Oryzias latipes: one gene and its partners. The protein of the gene in region 2 interacts with the protein of the main gene of each other region in a biochemical or structural test. Links are inferred from orthologs where the notes say so. Each region holds a gene or a part of one and is shown on either strand. Other genes may lie near its edges. The genes, in order: ikbkg, cyld and mib2.

Region 1 (4,094 bases), on a different chromosome or scaffold from region 2:
CCGGGCGTCCCTGCAGGTCTTCAGTCTGACTTGAGCTGCAGGACAGACCGGAAGACGGGGAGGAGCCTGGTCCGTTCGCCGTGACCTTCAGCGAGTGGTTTTCCTGCGCCAGCCTCTCCACGAGGGCCCTGGCCTCCTGGAAGCGACAGCTCAAAAACTCTCGCTCGTCTCTGGTTCTTTGCTGCCATCCCTCCATCTCTTCACAGCGCAGGCGGAGAGCTTGGTTGCTTCTCCGCAGTGCCTCTGGAGGAGCAAACATAAAGTACGACTTTCGTCTTTCGGTCTCACACAGAAGTTTATCCAAACTTTGCTGCCCTGACTCTGTTCTTATGCTGTGATACTATTCACAGATAGAAGAGACAGCATTTACCACATCTGAATGTGTATTTACATCTGCTAGACATGAAACCAACTTCCTGTGTGCGTTCAGGGCAGCTTGAAGTATCCGTCACTCCATTTTAACCAAAAATATCCTTTAAAGACCCACTCCGATCATCTTTTGATCTATTTTTAAACACGTTCTCAGTGGTCTTTTTGATATAATGCGGCCACTTTTAGCCATAATCTAAAAAGACTGCCATTTTCAAGGACATAATTCCTGCAGAGTGGCAGCGATTCATCAAAAATTGACCTCTGAGTTGTGGGCGGGACTGTTGACGTGGAGTAAGCCTGCCCCAACTTCCCGTCACTCACCTGTTTACCCGTTTTCCTGCTAGCTTACAGCCCCTCACACCCCCAACCTAACACTACCGGAGTGACAAAAATGCTGAGAAATATTGGAGCTATCCATCCGTCCAGTTTAGATCCAGATTCCAGCTCAGACGAGGAAAACAAAGACGCACATGGATCTATTTGTCTGCAAGTGGATGCATCAGAATGGAGCGGAGCAGGAAGTTTGTGGCCCGCCAATCATATTTTCTACATCACAAATAAGCTCTTTGTCAAACAGCATTTCACCACACACTCCTGATTCACAACAATTTGAATAAAGAAATACCCTGCAAGCTAAATTTTCTAAGACATCTGAGAAGATGATAAAAAAAAAAAAAAAAAAAAAAATTTTTAATTTTCATCAGAGTGGGTCTATAAATCAATCAAACTTTAATTATAAAGCACTTTTCATATAAAAGTATAACACAAAGTGATTTACATTAAAACAAAACAAAATAAATAACATAAAACAACAATTAACATAAAAAGAAAAATAATAATAAAAAAGAAGTATGAAGACAATATGTTGGAAACGCTAATAATTGGAACCTCCCTTTCTGTGAACAGCCGCATAACCAGCCAAATGCAGCATCACAGGCGGGGACCGCTCCACCACAGCTAAGCAGTGATGCAGGTTCCCATCCAGAGCCGCAGTGGCTGAAGAGCAGCCGATCCAGAGGGAGAGGTCCAAACTATGAAGGAGCTAAATAATTAATTATTTCTGTTTTTCTGATTTTTTTCCGTTTACAAAACAGGCAAATATGGTAAATAACTAAAATAGTGTAAAAGATGGTTAAACCACATATAGATTTGTTTTGAATTAAGCTTCTCTTATTTTCTGCTTTTACGTGTATAAAATATGTCAGTTAAAAAGCTGAGTTAACTAAAGCAGAAACTAAAATATATATACCACAATGTTTTAAGAAGTCAGCCTCTGATTATAAGCGAGCTCCACCCCGCCGGACCTAAAATGTATTTAACTTTAAAAAAAAAAAAAAATATGTTCCTGTCATGGATGAGAAATTGAAAAGAAAAGAAAGCGTAAACAGGGTCAGATGAAGAATCCTCGTTAAAAGTTGTGTGAGCGAAGCCGTGGGTGCGATACCTCTGAGCTGCTGGTTGTCACACAGTAATCTGGACACCACCTCATGACCAGCAAGCTCCGGTGGGACCCTGAGGGCCCCGCCACTGTCCTCCCCTGACATGTCCCACTGCATGGGGCCGTCGGGCTGCGGCTGGACCATTCCTGCAGGATTACAGTGGATTATCATCACACACCTGTCAAAGTCAACATCCAGTCCGTAAGCGTGGAAACAGGTTTGAGCCCTGACATGTGCACCAGGACCAGACTTTCACTTTCATTTTGATTCTTTTACTCATTTTTGTTGAAAATATGAAGCAGATCTGCTCCTTAAAGGCTTCAGCCTCTCTGCTAAAAAAAAAAAAAAAAAAACATGTGGACGTCATCCATGAACATGACTGCAGGTAAGGAAAACATTACGTCATCGTCATCACACCTTAGGCCGGGATAAAAGACACATTGGGTTTAAAATAGCTTTAAAAATGAAAGTAAAGAGAACGCAGTTGGATTTTAACAGAAAAAATAAATAAAATCAACGACCTAATTCCAAACTAGACTGATGTTTTTTTGGTTTTTGGACATCCGTGACTGTCTCTGAACAGTTTGGACGCATACATACTAGTTTATTTTAACAAAACAAGGACAGGATCTCTCTTACCTTAACTTCTTTTTCCCTTTGTTGTCCAGAATAACACACATCCAGAGTTTTTACAGTCCCCCCCTCAAACCTGCGCCAGGAAGGAAGCTCGACGAGTCCAGAAGCACTATTTTGGCTAATTTTTAGCTAGCTAGGCTAATGCGGCAGTGAAGGGCTGGGAAAGCGGCCTCGCTCCTCGGCTGTCATAAACACAGCTTCACGCTGGCAGACTATCGAACCTTAAAGGCACATTCTGTGTGGATGTAGGAGGCCTTTTCTTCCTTTGCTTCACGTTCGCTACGGGGTTTTCGTCCGAGCCGAGGCGACTGTTGTTAGCTCGGAAAATTCCTCGAATATTTTAACCCTGAGTTTTGCCTTTCAGGTGTCGGTTCTCCGGTTTGTAGATCTGAAAGGGGAACGGTTTGAGTATCTTATTTTAAGCACGAACAAGTGTGTAAAGTTTTCCTGCTGAATTAGGTTTTATAAATATAAGATTTTCTACTTTATTTTAATTGATAAAGCTTGCAAATATATTACAGTGAAATATAAAAAAATAATAAAACAGTGAAAGTTGAGTGGGATCACAAAACATTGCAAACTCAGCAAAGTCAAAGTCAGGTTTAGGGGGGGGGGGTGATGATACCAAAAAAAAAGAAAAAGCAGAAAAATCAAAGAAGAAGCAAATTGCAGAAACTGCAACACTTGTTCAAGTATCAGGGATGACTGGTTGACACACACAAAGAAACAGACACTTGATGAAAGAAACTGCTTGAATAAATCAATGCAATAAACATCCTAAAACTTCAATAATGAAGGGAACCAGACAACAGAACAGATAAAATGAAGAGGGTCTGCCACGAATCGACAACGGGATTAAAAACTTGAACCTGGAGCGCTTTGGACCCATGACTGAGACAATAATTTGATAGTATGCACTTTGAAAAAGCCCCAATTAGTAAAAATAGCCAATTTTTAAAATCAATACTAATGTTTTTCTGTTCTCACATGAGCTGCCGCCTCTGACCTGCACCAAAAGCCAGCCGTGTGCTAATGACACATGGGGAGTAACACAAACACAACAATGTGGGGATCCAGCTCATGTTCCCACAGGATTCAGTTCTTTAGGAAAACTGGATTTAAATGGATTCATCTAGATAGGGAGTGGGCAGTCGGGAGGGTTGAGGGCACTCTATGTTTTATAATTTCAGTTTTAATTGTTTGAAGTCAGAAAAGCACTTTGTGTTACTCTAGTAGGAAAAGTGCTGTATACAGAATGTTAAATTTGATGTTGAAAACAAAATAATCAGAATTTGCATCTGTTTATACAATATTGTATTATTTAACATGTTAGCTTGCAGCAGCACACCGTACATTAGCAGTTTGAACTGAAGAGACAGCCATAAAGAAGTGTTTACATCTTGGAGGAATTTTAAAAAAAAATTGGGCACCAAAATTAGGCCGCGTCAAAAGTTGCCTGTCAGGTAAAGCGCAGGGAATCTAAATTCCGGAAGATCCCCTTTCCTTCTTCCGCAGACGCTCGTGACGTCAGCAGGCCGCAGCTTCCTGTAAGCGGCTAAAGTGAGGGAGGTGACAAAAATGCTCTCCGCTCCCGCAGCCCGAGCTTTTCTCCTTCTGTCTTGGATTTCTTCGATTTCTGCGCTTTAT
Region 2 (3,718 bases):
TATACATCTACACTGTACAGATGCAACAGAACAAAAACAGACACAAAGTCTCTTCTTCTCTGTGGTGTTGCAGGGAGCGGAGCTCCGGTCAGCGGCGAGCTTCAGCAGCACTAGAAAAGTTCAAATTCCTGTCAGAAGCTCTGCAGCTGTGGAGCAGAGCGCTCAGCCCAACCCTTCAGTCGTTTACAAATCGCCTTCACCGTTCTTCCTAAGTCAAGGTTCCTCAAGTGTTTGCGTAGATAAATAAAATTTGAAAGCTAACAAGCTTTTCCGATCAATTTCTTACTGTGGCAAACTGGAATAAAATGGAATCAAAATGTTCCGTTTTTATTTCATTTTCATTTTTTTTTATAAAACTTCTTTAAATATGTATTTGTAAATATATATGCCCAAAGGTCTCCCCCCCTTGTGCCTCTTCATTTGTCCTCAGTTGCTAACTGCTCATTGTGTCTCCATGAACATTCAGTAGTTGTTGTAGGACAACCTAAAGTTTAATACTCACTTAAATATACAGTGAAGGACAAGATATACCCAAGCCTAGCAGTATCACTGACCCTGTTTTTGTCACGTATTGAACTATTATTTCAGAGAAATCGGTGACATGACGAGAGCGCAATAAATAATATTTGAACGCAACTGTTTTGCTGTCAGACGCCAAGCTGTAAAAACTGTCACGCTGTGATAAAAGGCAGCGGAGGGTCGATACTTGCTTCTGTTGGGAATCAGTCCTGCCAGGACAGGCAGAGGAGGAAAAAAAAAAAGGCTTTGTAAACAAAAAAACATCATTTAGATTTTCTCATTAACAGAATGAGCACGACACTGCACTTCCTCACACTCTTACCTTTTAAAGAAACACGCTTTTTGCAGTTTTTCACCTCATTGACCCTACGAGCGCTCCGGAAACCAGCTTTACTACAGAAGCCGTTGTGCAAGTCTCTCGTCATGCTTTTTATCTGGTCTGCAGGAGCCGTGCAGGCCATTCATGACGGCTACAGCCGAGGGGCAGACATGACTGAGATGGACACTTACAGGTGGGGGGGGGGGGAACAAAAATGCTGATGTGAGACTTTTACAATGGCCAACACCCTATTCTGTAAAACACACACTGTAAGGACGTTTACACAGCGTGATGAAGGCGTAGAAGAACCGGTTCACAAAGAGCCCAGTGGTCTGGTTTAAATGCGACTGACTGCACAGCTAGTTGACGTCTATATTGTTGGTGTTACAGTCTGGAGCTATCTATGCTACTTAAAGAGATTTTACATAAATGTTCTATAACGGCACAAACACATGGAGGTTTGCACACAATGTCGCTTCCTTAATGTGCACCACGGAAACTCCCGTCCTGAAGAGTGATTAAGAATAACAGGTCTCCCTTTTTTCTTTAAGGTAAATGAGGTGAGCAAGGTCCTCCCACAAGCACATTTTATTTTGTTTTGTAGGCCGCTGCCGTGCAAAGTCTCCTCTGCTTGTGTCTCCTGCCTCCCCGTTCAGGGAGTGGATCCTCATAATGCCTACCCCTTTGTTTTGCTAACACCCAGCGATGCTCAGCTTCCAGACACAAGAAAGCTACATAGGACTACATAAAAGAAACAACACTTCAACTAATGCACAGTGCAAATAGGCATCTCCCGCTCCTTTCCATCTTCCCAGCCTTCAGAAACGAGAAGGCATGGAGGCGAGGTGAGGTTAGGAGGTTTTCGTGGACCGTGCCCCCGATAGCAGGCAGCTGTTCTATTAGTTTATCTTTCGCTTTTTGGTCTCTTTGAATCTGCTGGCCTGGGGGAGATGGAGGCTGAGTGGCAGGGGATGACAGGTAAAAAGGTTGAGGGAGCAGAGTTTTACTTGTACAGGCTCATGGTGGGGCTCTGGTACATGCACATGTAGGCGTCGCAGAGCAGGCGGCGCGCCTGGCCCTGGATACTCTTGGGGTCGAGAGTGTGCAGCTCTTCCGGAGACATTTTCAGGTAGGTCTCCACCTCGGGGCACGGAGACACCTGGGGGATGTTGAAACCGTTCTGGCCCCCTGCAAAGCCACAGGAAACGGTTAGAAGCAGCAAATTCAACATGGTATGAAATGATTATTTTTCATCCGACTCTAAATGCCTAAAGTGATTTTAAAAACAGCAAAACTACGACTGAGTATGGACAAATGTTTTCTCACAAATCCAGTTCTACTGGCTTATAATTGGAAGAAATTCTATACAAATAATTTTTTCTGAAACCCACCGTCGCGGTCAGCCATACTGTCGAAGAAGAGCCAGGCGGAATCTGCGGTGCCGTACTTGACGAAGGCCACGTAGTGACTGGTCTCGATGCATAGCACAGCGAACAGCTCCATCCTCTGGCGGGGAAAGCCGCCCTGACGCCCCGTACCTTCTTGCAGCTCCTTGGGGACGGACAGTTTGCCATGTCGATGGGCTTTCCTCTTTGGGTGGAGGTGAACCTAGACCAGCGGGATCAGATAAACTCCATTACACATAGAATGCGTTGCTGTGGTCGGGTAAGGGGAAATAAAAAGCATCTCAACGGGTTTTTATGGGGCATGCAGATGGGAATCGCAACTCTAATGCAATCACTGCTGTGAGATGTGTGTAATAGTGCAGTGAAAAAGCCATTTCCCTGAAACTCCTCATCACTGAGACTGCCATTTGTTTGGATTTGGCACCACCACATGGGGGAATACTGACACGAACATTCCCACTTCTGCTCTGGTGAGGGCGCCCTCTAGAGTTTACCTGTGTATTACACTTTTCACAGAACTGTTTAATCTTGCCGGCGGTGATGTCCCCGTCGTCATAACAGTCTCTGCACTCGTAGAACGCCAGGCCCCCGCAGATACGACATTCCCTCGGAGCTGTACGGCAAAAGCAAACCTTACCGGCTGAGAATTCCTGTCAAATGTCACGTCACAGCGACCGCTTTAAACTACAAGAGGAACTCACTGTCTTCAAGAAGATCCGTGATGTCCAACTCTAACGAAGGAAAAATCTTGTTGAACATTTTGAAGTCCTTGCCAAAGCGGGGCATCTGGATGATAAGGCAGGAGGGAGCCTTGGCGAGTTGGAAAAAGACAAAGCATCAGCTAATGAAGTCCTCACCACAACAGCACTGACATGTTCACACAGCTGCAAGCACAACCCAAAATCCGGATGCACTGCTTTTCTTCACGTGTTTCACCCATATGTAGTGTAAAAGAGATGAGCACCTCTGCAAACTTTAGGTCACTGTTGATGAAGGACCACTCTAAAAGCTGCTGGATGGTTGGAACTCCAACCTTGTCTTTCTTGTCCATGAAGATCTGGTAAAAGTAACAGTCCTGGACCTTCTGACCTGCTGATCTAGAAAGGTGATCAGATGAATCCGTTATTATCGTACTCCGTCTCCCACACTCCCACAATATTGACTCAAGATCAGAATTCTTCAAAACATTACACCGGAAAACGACAGTTAATCTTAATAATCAGAGAATTTTATTCAGCTGCTTCAGGTTTTTTCTTTTCTTTTTACCACAGAAGCTCCTCCCTCTTCTCACCTCAGTATTAAGCTTTTTTTATTACAGATTCTTTGAAAAATCTAAAGTATTTCTTAGTTGGTCTTGCTTCAGCTTAATTAAATTTGTAGTTACAATGTGATTGGTCCAAGTTCAACTGCTTTAACTTTCAACACGCATCCAATGACCAACTCTTTTCTTCGGACTTAAAAAAATTTTAAAAGC
Region 3 (4,167 bases), on a different chromosome or scaffold from region 2:
TTGTTCATGTAACACTGGGTGCACAGGTCGTAGTCGAAGCACACTTTGCACTTCCATCGCATTCCCATGATGCCGTGCTTCTTACAGCTGTCACATATGATGTTGGAGTGTCGCACCCCTACGAAGAGCAGAAACAAGAGCAGAGGCGTTTAGTAAACCTTCTGTTTTCTCCACTGAATTTATGAATCCGTAACTTTTGGAACCGAAGGACACGAAGGACGGCGGCTGACGCCTGCAGCATCATGTTCTCAGAAAACATCTGCAGGGCTGCACCATCACTCAGAGACCACAACGACCTTTGAACCCTTTCTCTTTCTGTTCACAAGGAGAAACATCGAGTATATTTTCTGCAGAACAAACTGACGATGTACATTTCATGAGCCTGGGTGGTGCAGCAGCATAGAATGAACTTCAAACCCTTTAAAAGACATTTGAATTCAGAAGCACGTCTCTTCCGGTCAGGATGCTTACCGATCTGAGCGTTGTCATAGAGCAGCAGGTCAAAGGCGCCCTGGTACCCGGTCCGGTAATTGGTCCGTGTGCCGCTATCCCACTGGACCACCACCGTCTTATCCGGGGTGGTGGTGCTGCCTTGTCGACCGATCTCCACCACCGTGCCCACGTGCCCCTCCCCGTCGTCTTGGTTACCCCACTTCCAGTCCAGGCCACGCACAACGCGCATGCCCACCTCCATGCTGCCCCTATGGGGGCCTCTCCTGCAGGCCGAGCCCAGGGGGAGGGGCTTGGAGGCGGCGTACCCTACGCTGCTTCTGCGCCGCCGCAGCTGCTGGGCCGCAGAGCTGGTTCGTGGCGAGGGAATGGCGGGCAGAGACGGCAGCAGGGTGGTTTCCGGGAACAGATCGGGGGTTACTGCGGAGACACGTTTGGAGCCATGCGGTGAAAAAAGCTGTTTCATCATCAGCCCAGAGTTCATCTGATGTGTATCAGCATGAAGATGAGTCCCTGAACACCCCCCCCCCTCACTGCTGCTGGTGCTGAAGATGAATAAAGACCACAAAGTGATGAAGAAAGAAGGCGGGACCCTCTGATACCCTGCCCCGCTTTCCATGAGCAAACGCGTGAACCCCTCAGGATTCACCCCCACATCTGGCCAACAGGCAAACTGCAATATCAGTGTTTGGCGGCGTGGGATCGCAGTGGAATTCCTTTTTCCCTGCTGGTGGAGGGCTGCCGAGCATCACGGCACACTTCTGGAGAGCAGCTGGAGTGGGCCGCTCTGCCCGGCTGCACTGATCATGCCCCGACCCCCCAGAAACACGCTCATGTCCTCAGCACGTCCTCAGTGCTGCCCTCCACCCAGATGTTTCTGTGAGACTCGTTTTCAAAAGCCGTATTTCTGAACGCGGTTCTGTTTGAAAGCCAGCCGACGAGGAAAAGGCTTCAGAAACATGAGAGGAACAGGAAAGCGAGGCATTTCCTGTCTGTGAGCAAAAACAGATTTACCGGTAGATTCATGCAGATTTGGACACATTCAAATATTAACTAGACACAGTTGGATTAGAGACAACAGGTGTGGCTGTAGCAGCAGCTGTGATGCAGGTCAGGTCTCTCTAGTGGACATGGCTCTGTGTTTTTGTGCAGGAGATGACCCTCGCTCTGCTGGGTCGTGGCGGTCTGCAGCAGAGGGCAAACAGACGGGATCACGGCGCTCCGCCCGCAGAAACGGGTGGCTTGTGGTTTTATTTACCACAGCTCCTCAGGCTCGTCCCGCTGACTCTGACACTGATTCCTTCATGCAAGATGTTCATCTGAAATAAGTCCCAGGGATTTTATAGGTTTTAACTAAGGATAAAGTTGCTAAACCAAAACAAAATTTAAAAACGTGTTAGCAGATGACACTTACTGCTGAAATAAATAACTTGGGTTTGTTTACATTTTATCTTCATTCTCATCTTAGTCCACCACATAAAAACCTGATTTAACATAATCTGAAGATCTGTTTCTTTTCCTGATAGAAGCACTATGTCATCAGCGTACAGCAGTATAGACTCTTTAAATCCCCCACATCAACACCAACATTTGCTCCTTTAACTTCATCTAGCAAACTGTTAATAAAAATGGCAAATAATGTAGGAGACGGGACACCTCCCTGCTTTACGCCGTAACCAGTCAGGTAAATGGTCATTCACCTGAACACACCATGGGGGGCCATTATAAACAGCTTTAATTGGGTTCTAGAATTTCCCATCAATTCCAACTTGTAATGGTAGAAAATAAAGTCAGTCCCCGTAACAAAAGTTTTGTTAAACTTTAGTGTGGAAAACCAACGATTCAGGAAAAAGACTCAGCTTTTGCTGCTGCGGTACCGTTCCTTCTTCTGCTCTTGGTCTTCAGAGGATGAAACTGGATCCCGTCTGGATCCGTTTTTTTGGTCCTTGTCTCTTTTTTAAGGAAGACTTTTTCCAGAATATTCTGAAGTTATTTTAACTTTTATTTTACTCCAAACAGATGAAATCTCTGCAGCAGGTCGGTGCAGACTCCTCTGGATGATGAAGACTTGCTAAACCTTCATCAAACATGCAGATTCCTGCACGCGTGCCCACCCCCCCCCCCGGGTCCACAGAACGTCATGGTTCTTCTGGACCGCGTTCAAAGATGGTTTGCTCTCTGATGATGGAGCTTGAGAGGAGGGTGGAGGTTTCTGGAAGTTTCCTGGATCATTTGGGAATGTGCCGGTTCTCCCTTAAAGCAGACCCGGTTCTGTCCTAAACCAGACCCGGTTCTGCTCTTGGATAGAACTGGTTCTGCCATTAAGCAGACCCGGTTCTCCCTTAAACCAGACCCGGTTCTGCCCTAAAGCAGCGCCGGGTCTTCCTGGGAAGAAGAACATGCGTGTACTCACTCCCCATGGTCCTCAGCCCACTCTTGAACATGCCAGCAGCTCTTTTCCTGTTTGTCCCCACAGCTCACTTCTGCTAATCTCTGCAGTTCAGGGGCAAAAGAACCTGAAGCCCCCCAGCAGGGAAGTGGACCTCCCCCAGTCCAAATGCACTATTTGGTTAACTGTGAACTTTGGGCTTAGCTTTGGAACAAACTGGTTTTATCCCCCCCCCCCCCCCCCCCCCCCCAGGGAAAAACAAACAAGCAGAGAGCCAATCTTCTGAGTGGACTGTGCTTCAGGCAAACGTATCAGGAAGAAGAGCATTGTGGGAAATGTTCTCTCATCGAACCGCTCAAACTTAGCAACAGAACCTCAACAGCTGGAAGGTGTGATGAGTTCTTCGCTGTGGTACCGGTTCCAAAAAGGTTCCATCAAACGTCACATCAAAAGCAATAGTTGCTCAATTATAGAAACTCTTCAAATAAAACTTTATTTATATCCTTAGCGTTGTTTTGTGTCACAAAGACTCAAACATGAAAAAGATTCAGAGTGAAGTCTGCCGAGTCCCGCGGTCATGTGATCCCCATGTCTGTCCCAGAGATGAGAGAGTATAAAACACGCCAAACACGCCTGACCACAACACGGGCTCACCGGCATGTTTGATGAGGAGGCGCCGCCTCTGAGCGAGGAGCGAGGTGACCCCGCAGTCTTTTCTAAAGAGGTCGCATAAAGGTCTCTTTAAAACAGGATGAAAAATTAACAAATATTAAAAGGCATGCAAACAGCTTCCTGCAGCTGCAGGGAGTGGGAAAGCGGCTGGTCTGATTGGGCGGTTTACCTGTTGCTATGGAGATGAACACAGAAACCGATCACAACATGAATCAGAGGAAGCAGCTCCAACCTCTCCACTACTCAGACGCTCTCCAGCAGCTTCAAGCTGTGCTAAAAATAAAAACCTTTCTGATCTGAAGGAGGGAAAAGCTGAAGCCCCTCTGTGCTGCTCTCCAACAGTGAACCCAGGGGTGGGGGGTCCGGGAAAACAGGCGTTGGGATGCTGGATGCACACTGACAGCGGAGCGGCGTCCTGTAGCGAGAGGATGCAGCATTTGTTCCTCTGTGGTGTGTCAGCAGGGATTACCACCATGCAGCAGAGGAAGGACGCGCCACGGCGAGCTCGCCGCGTCCTGACGTTGGTGTAAACAGGCCAGCGGGCTCTGCCTGCAGGCTCCAGCCCTGGGGGGTCCGCGTGCCCCCCATGCTGCTGCAACATTTCTGCATGGCGGTGAGAATTCTTCTGGATCAGGACACGGTGAGGGGGGCTGGAG

Evidence for each region.
Region 1: the proteins of cyld (region 2) and ikbkg form a complex in vitro, tested with the Homo sapiens proteins (3 studies listed by BioGRID, with this or other methods). The link is inferred for Oryzias latipes from reciprocal best matches to the Homo sapiens genes CYLD and IKBKG.
Region 3: of the proteins of cyld (region 2) and mib2, one has a biochemical effect on the other in vitro, tested with the Homo sapiens proteins (2 studies listed by BioGRID, with this or other methods). The link is inferred for Oryzias latipes from reciprocal best matches to the Homo sapiens genes CYLD and MIB2.

The regions. Positions count from the first base shown.
Region 1 is NC_019865.2:4,851,536-4,855,629, forward strand, and holds the start of ikbkg (NF-kappa-B essential modulator), read right to left. Parts: upstream 2,801-4,094; 5' UTR 2,451-2,800; intron 1,958-2,450; 5' UTR 1,956-1,957; coding exon 1,817-1,955; intron 244-1,816; coding exon 1-243. Other genes in the region: transmembrane emp24 domain-containing protein 4, read left to right, coding at 4,026-4,094. UniProt on the Homo sapiens protein: Regulatory subunit of the IKK core complex which phosphorylates inhibitors of NF-kappa-B thus leading to the dissociation of the inhibitor/NF-kappa-B complex and ultimately the degradation of the inhibitor.
Region 2 is NC_019861.2:30,212,872-30,216,589, forward strand, and holds part of cyld (ubiquitin carboxyl-terminal hydrolase CYLD), read right to left. Parts: intron 3,342-3,718; coding exon 3,209-3,341; intron 3,055-3,208; coding exon 2,946-3,054; intron 2,858-2,945; coding exon 2,739-2,857; intron 2,447-2,738; coding exon 2,230-2,446; intron 2,027-2,229; coding exon 1,842-2,026; 3' UTR 1-1,841. UniProt on the Homo sapiens protein: Deubiquitinase that specifically cleaves 'Lys-63'- and linear 'Met-1'-linked polyubiquitin chains and is involved in NF-kappa-B activation and TNF-alpha-induced necroptosis.
Region 3 is NC_019865.2:835,374-839,540, forward strand, and holds the start of mib2 (E3 ubiquitin-protein ligase MIB2), read right to left. Parts: upstream 2,971-4,167; 5' UTR 2,895-2,970; coding exon 2,864-2,894; intron 871-2,863; coding exon 472-870; intron 119-471; coding exon 1-118. UniProt on the Homo sapiens protein: E3 ubiquitin-protein ligase that mediates ubiquitination of Delta receptors, which act as ligands of Notch proteins.